Linked DNA regions of Nothobranchius furzeri. The protein of the gene in region 2 interacts with the protein of the main gene of each other region in a biochemical or structural test. Links are inferred from orthologs where the notes say so. Each region holds a gene or a part of one and is shown on either strand. Other genes may lie near its edges.

What was found.
Region 1: the proteins of multiple PDZ domain protein (region 2) and htr2aa form a complex in vitro, tested with the Homo sapiens proteins (2 studies listed by IntAct, with this or other methods). The link is inferred for Nothobranchius furzeri from reciprocal best matches to the Homo sapiens genes MPDZ and HTR2A.

Annotation. Positions count from the first base shown.
Region 1 is NC_091754.1:35,498,866-35,502,519, forward strand, and holds part of htr2aa (5-hydroxytryptamine receptor 2A), read right to left. Parts: intron 2,391-3,654; coding exon 2,190-2,390; intron 1-2,189. UniProt on the Homo sapiens protein: G-protein coupled receptor for 5-hydroxytryptamine (serotonin).
Region 2 is NC_091742.1:68,620,589-68,624,242, reverse strand, and holds part of multiple PDZ domain protein, read right to left. Parts: intron 3,520-3,654; coding exon 3,428-3,519; intron 2,925-3,427; coding exon 2,843-2,924; intron 116-2,842; coding exon 26-115; intron 1-25. UniProt on the Homo sapiens protein: Member of the NMDAR signaling complex that may play a role in control of AMPAR potentiation and synaptic plasticity in excitatory synapses. Promotes clustering of HT2RC at the cell surface.

The DNA.
Region 1 (3,654 bases), on a different chromosome or scaffold from region 2:
CAGGGAGTGAGGTGGTGGGGGCTTCAAGCTGATTTAGCCTTGGTCCCCAAATGCCTTGATACAGCTCTGGATGTGGGACTGACTTTTGAGGGTGTTCTGATTCTATCACATGTCGTCGTCTTCCTCCGCTTATCCGGGTCCGGGTCGCGGGGGCAGCATCCCAACTAGGGAGCTCCAGACCGTCCTCTCCCCGACCACCTCCACCAGCTCCTCCGGCAGGACCCCAAGGCGTTCCCAGACCAGATTGGAGATGTAACCTCTCCAACGTGTCCTGGGTCGACCCGGGGGCCTCCTGCCGGCAGGACATGCCCGAAACACCTCCCCAGGGAGGCGTCCAGGAGACATCCTGACCAGATGCCCAAACCACCTCAACTGACTCCTTTCGATCCGGAGGAGCAGCGGTTCTACTCCGAGTCCCTCCCGAATGTCCGAGCTCCTCACCCTATCTCTAAGGCTGAGCCCGGCCACCCTACGGAGGAAACTCATTTCGGCCGCTTGTATCCGCGATCTCGTTCTTTCGGTCATTACCCAAAGCTCATGACCATAGGTGAGGATTGGGACGTAGATCAACCGGTAAATCGAGAGCCTGGCTTTCTGGCTCAGCTCCCTCCACCACGACAGATCGGCTCAGCGTCCGCATCACTGCAGACGCCGAACCAATCCGCCTGTCGATCTCCCGATCCCTCCTACCCTCACTCGTGAACAAGACCCCGAGATACTTAAACCCCTTCACTTGAGGTAGGACCTCTGTCCCGACCCGGAGTTGGCAAGCCACCCTTTTCCGGTCGGGAACCATGGCCTCAGATTTGGAGGTGCTGATCCTCCTCTATCACATGTATAAATATTAAATGCTTATATATTATTGCTTTTCACTGGTAAAAATGTGCATTGGGGATAAATCTACCTATTCTTTTTTTCTTTTCAAGTACTTTTCTTTTCTTGATTTAATTTGAATAATTTCCTGCCCTCTCCCTCTAACCTTCCTGCATGCTGCATCTTTTCTCAGTCTTCCAGAAAAACGGTTTCCTAGACTTCCTACTTTCTAACTAATCAGCCAAAGGGACCTTAACATGCGCTGCGCTCCAGCAGCAATGAGTTGAAATCACCGGGATACAGATTATGAACTCAGCTGAGGCAAAGCACGTCAGAAAAGTACAGAAAGTACCAGAGAATATGCGCCGATATGAACGATCGCAAGTGAATTATTTTGTTTTAGTGGAGTGATTTTGTGAATGTAACATAAGGTCAGTCATAAATGACGTCATATATGCAGATACTGGATCTTTTTTTCAGGCTTCCGGCAATTTGAATTTTTAAGGAACACATCTTGATTCTGGGTTTAAAAATGCATTGTAATTACCGCATTACTGACAATTGTACCGAGTAAATATTACCATTTTCTTTCCCTGTAATGCCTTACATTACCACATTACAGCAAAAAGCAATGCATTACAGTAATTAATTACTTTTGTATTGCATTACTCCCAACACTGCCAGCTGATAATATGTTTATTTGGCCTACATTTAGCTTTTCCTGCTGTAAAAGAAAACTATTTTTGCATGAATGTGTATGTAACTAGTCCAGAACACTGTGAACTTACTATACTGTGTAAAAAGATGTTTGACTTTAAAATTGATCTAATTAGAGGAAAACATGGAGTGGAAACCAGTCAGAATGTTGCCAAATGAATATCTGTTGAACAGAATATCTAAGTCAAAGGTAGAACTATATAAAAAAAAACTAACAAAAAAAAGACAAAATCTGAAATAGAAAATTAGATTCTAAGTAATAATGTCCAACATAAATGTAAAATGACAGTGAAACAAGTTAGTCTAATATTTGTGACATTAATGACATAAATCTCTCACTTCTTATAACTCTCACAAAGTGTTTTTAAGTAGCACAACTTGTATTGAGCATTCAACAAAAGTGAATATATTGTTAAAACGAAAAACATTTAGTGTTTTATGGAGTTTTGGGGGAGGGGGGGGGGGACACACATTTATGTCAGAGGGGGACATGTCCCCCCCCCCCCCCAGGGTTTTTGCCTATGATTACCCCACATGTCTTGTAATAAAACATTAGCTTCATACTCACGTGCCTGTACATAAAGGCTTGCAGACATGTTTCTGTTTATGTTTGTGACACTGAAGAATTTGCCGACACAGACATTTCTTGGCGTGCTTACCCACTGAGATGGTCCACACTGCCATGATCTTGACCCGAGCCTTGGTGTGTGAATTGAAGCGGCTGTGGTGGATCGGGTTCCGTATGGCGATGTATCGGTCCAGAGAAATTGCACAGAGATGCATGATGGATGCTGTGGAGAAAAGAACGTCCAGGTAGATCCAGATGGGGCAGAGGTCGGAGGGAAGGGGCCACTTGTAATCTGCAAAGAGCAGGAAATGGTTAAGAAGAGACCAACACTTGTGCAATACAAGTTTGATTGAATAAATAATTGTTGTGATCGGTTCATGTTTCTGGTTCTTGAACCTATCATGGTTCCATGTGTGCTCTACTGAACTCTCCAGCCTAATTCCCTTCTGATTAGCGTTGTCTTACCTTGTCTGCTAGTAGCTGGTCTTCTGATAAGATTCAGTATTTTACTTGCATGCTAAGTGTGTTTTTACTGTACTACAACTTGTCTGTTGGTCCTTGTTTTAAAGCCACTTCTTGTTGCCTATGTGTGGCAGCACTTTGCTGCAGATTCAGTCAGCAAACTCTCCACGCAGGCTGGCTGTAAATCCAGCTGCTGGCTTTAAACCGTCTTATTAAAACAAAAATATTGAGGGAGGTTTGTTTTCACATCAGCACTGCACTCAGGTCAGTGCAGCCTCACAATACTGATAAACAGCTTGATTTTCAGCTGATCTCTGACCAGATTGAAAGCTAATGAAGGGTCAGAAAAATGTTTGTTTGAGTTTTTGTCACTGGTTCCTGATTGTACTTGTGTCAACATTCAAATATGTCCACGTCTGTGGGGTTATAGTTTTCAAAGACGTGCAGCTCATTGTTTGCTTTTAAAAAGCTAATTCCACAGCGACCACGCAGTGATGGATGGAATGACTCATTCACATGGAACCAAGCTGGAGCTGATGAATCCTGCTCCTAACTACAAACACACACAGCCAGGTAAAGCCACTGCCATGTGAACAGCTGGTGCATGAGCCTTAACTGCACACACACACACACACACACACACACACACACACACACACACACACACACACACACACACACACACACACACACACACACACACACACAGTCGATGTAATGCTGCTGTAGAAACTGCCACTAAATATAGTCATGCAAATTGGTCTGGAACCCACCCAGCAGCTGGGGGAAATATAATACAATCTAGTGAATATTAATGAAATGGAGCAGCTTTTCATGTTCCATACATCAAGGTGAGTTTATTTTTAGAGGCCAATTCCTGAGAGGCTGTATGACACCGGCTCTGAACACTGACCAATAACAACACAGGGGAATGAGATAATAAGGAGCAAAGTGCAGAGAAAGAAGAGTTAATTGTTTTTCTAAGATATTGATTTAAGCAAGTTAAAGGGTAATAGCTGCACAAGGAAACGAACACAGCTGGATGGGTGTGTGTATAAAACTAGGAAACATTGCTGATTTTTGACCGGTCACAC
Region 2 (3,654 bases):
TGCCACCAGACGTTCTTCCTGTTACCTTTGTTAGGGTGGTGTGTCTCACCTCAACCTTTACCACAGGATGAACATGTTCGGACGCATCACCGTCGTATTCTGCAGCCAGCTGAGGCTGTGAGAGAACAGATGAACATTTAAATAGAGTCAGATCAATGTGTCAGCCTGATATATTTTCTTAAGTGTTCTTAATGTTTATTTAAAAATTAAGTCAGGAATCAACGACATTTACTACAAAATTTCTACCATCTCTTAGTTCAAAGTAAAAAAAAGAATAAACACAGTAGTTCTCTAGGAAAATGAGCCCTATGACCCTGAGATAAATATATCATCAAACTGCACCTTAGTGTCTTAACGAACAACCATTAAATAAACTAAGCAAATAACAAATTATTAAAATGCTTAAAGTATCAGTCTTCCATTATCAGAAGTTCATTATTTTTTATTTTTCTGTGTTTTAAGAACAGCTAGCTGTGTGGTACTGTCACCTGTCTTAACCTCTGAGGACCAATGTCCACATATGGGGATGCTGACTGCTTGCAATTAAATATTTTATAATGCCGGTTTTTATTGCCAAGTTTTAATTAATCTTTTTTACCTTATTTAAGTTCAAATAAATTTAGAACAAAAAAATTTTTTTAAACTCATTATTTATTTAGTTATTATATCCTAACAAACCATTTCCGAGTTAATTGAAAATCTATTCATTTTAGTCCTTTGTTAAAGTTAAAGTCCCAATAGTTGTCACACACACTTATGTGTGTGCGACATTTGTTCTCCGCATTTGACCCATCCCCTGGGGGAGCGGTGAGCTGCAGAAACAGCCGCGCTCGGGAACCATTTGGTGGTTTAACCCCCAATCCAACCCATTAATCCTGAGTGTCAAGCAGGGAGGCATTAGGTCGCATTGTTTCAAAGTCTTTGGTAAGACCCGACCAGGAATCGAACCCTGATCTCCCAGTCTCAGGGAGGACACTCTACCACTAGGCCACTGAGCTTTGACAGCCCAAACTATGTACTGGCAGCTTAGAGCCGTACAAACATCAGAAATCGGTATTGGCTCTCAACACCAGAATTGGTGCATCTATAAAACTACCTTGTGCTTTTTAATTTAAAGGGACTTTTCGGAGTTTTGAATTTTTATGCTCGCGATTGCCCCCTCAGGCCAAAAGCTTAATGGCAGCTTCAATAGTAGGCTCGTGCACGAGGCGTGCATGCTGTACGTGTACACTCCTTAATGAAAATAACAGCTGAGACAGTCCCGTGTGTGTGTGTGTGGCCCGGAGGACAGAAGAACACAGGAAATTAATAAAAATAATGTCCCTCTGTCTCTGCAGCTGCACTTTCTCGTCAGCCGGCCGAACGTGCAGTGTGTGTGTGTGTGTGTGTGTGGCCTGGAGGACAGAGGACAGGAGAACGTGCAGCTAATTAATTAAATAATTTGGTTCTGTACCTTTCTCTTCAGCACAGCCGACAAAGGTTTATGATGGGTCAGTCCTCCTGCATGCTCAGATCATTCCCTTCCCTTGCTTGAAAAATTGTTCCAAAATGAAAGTTGAACCCACATCTTTTTTACCTGTGAATTCAACGCCGTTCGGCAAGTCTCAAATAAAAATCTGGGTGTCTTATTACTGTAAAACAAATTATCACTAATGTAAAAAAGAAACTCTTTATTCACACCCAGAATTTAACCCAGGTCTCCTACATGAGAGTCAGACGTCTCACTAAGTGAGCTAAAGTGCCAGTGACATTCTTTGTATCTGTAACGTTTATACCCTTGATGACAGCTGAAACAACGTCAATCCAAAGAACGGTCCGGAGCGAAAATGGCTATTTTGTTGCTAATTTGCAGGAAAAATCTAGAAGAAAGTAGCTAATGGTCCTCAGAAATGTAGCTAGGTTCATCACTTGTCGCTGTGTTGGCACTACCTCACTCTCTGCTGCTAAAGCGACGGATAGCAAATGCTACGGGCGATGCCTGTGCGTGAACGCGCATGAAGCAGCCTGCTCGACCCGAGCAGCTCTCTTTTTCTGTGATTTTACGGAAAAACAGGCAATCACAGTAAAAATGCCAGGGCTCATTCTACAGGACCAGGGCCTTGCAGGAGAATGTATGAAGAAGAAATTTATTATTTCTATACATGTTTTGGCTGTCAAACTTCCATAATGCCCCTTTAAAGTAGAATTTTTTAAAACAAGCAAAAATAAAACACAAACAATTAGCCCATCAGTAAAACTAATATTTTAAAACCTTTTGGTTAAAACCCAAGTTATTAGTTGCATCTGGCACTAAAACCTACTGGTATTATTATTCATTCTGTGGCAGAAACTTCATGAATATTTGCAACAATTGGAATGGAAAACTGCTAAAATTATCATTGTCTTTTATCAGCTTAAATGTTAAAATGACTCATTTTTGCTCATAAGTACAAGGAGCAATTTCAACTGAGCCAAAGAACCATGAGTGGCGTCAGAGCCACAGGATGCAGACCATTTCAGTAGGTCATTAGGAGTCTATTTTTATAAGATGGAGGTAAAAAAAAAAAAAAGAATATGAAGTAGCTGCGTTAATTTAAAAAGAAATCAGCACATCAGTCTCATTAAAATCCACACTGGTCCACCTCGGCATTATGAGTTTTCCAAACTACAGTTTGAGGTTTTCTGGGTGTTTAGGGAGTTCCCTCGACCACACAGGGGGATAAACACAGAAGTCAGATGCATGACGCAGAGTAAAAGCCTAATTATTGTACAAGAAGACCAGAAGTAAAGTGAAGTCAAGCGTCACTTTCTACCAGCTGCACGATGGGAGTGTGTTGGGAGTTCTTGTGTTTTATGATCGCACCTCAGCAGCGTGGGGCTCCTCTGCGCCTCCCTCGTGCTCTCTCACAGGTCCCACAGCCATCTGGTTCAGTGCCTCCGTGTTCCTGTTCCACAGAGTCATAACTCACGTAAACCACTGCTCCTCTGCTCCGGGACAGAGGGAATGGTAATATACGCAGGCTGCTCTGTGTCTGTTTCAGCAGGGGGGGGGGGGGGGGGGGGGGGGGGTCAGGACTGGGATGTGAGTTAAGTAGGGGGGTTAAGTAGTTGGATCCTGGATAAGACTAAAACTAGGGTCAGAGGTCAAACATGTCCCTGGTGATGATGAGGCTGAGAGTCCGTCTCTGTTTCAGGCAGCAGAGCAATTATAGGTAGTAAAACTCATCTTTGATCACAAAAAAGCTGCTTTTTAATCATTCTGTGAACAACTAGTTAAAACATACCAATAATAATTACTATTATGTTTAACTAGCAGACAACTAAAATTATATTGTTGCTATACATTTTTAAAAATGTTGTGCAACACTGAGCAAATCTGTAGAATAACAATAGCTTCCTCTGGTGGACATTTAGAAGAATTACACCAAATACAACCGTTTTTTTTTACCTGATAAAGATGATTTTGACTTTGGATGAGGAACTCTTGATAATAGACGACGCATTCTGATGGCTGTGGCCATAAAGAACGTGTCCGTTGATCTAACAGGACAGAGATGAGTGGTTAGGAGAGTGGTGGAGAAAAAGGGCTGTGCAAAAGTTACAAAGCCTCTTGTAATCCCTTAAAGTGGTGCTGTTCAACTGTAATTTGGGCTACTTAATTTGGGACATATTGCA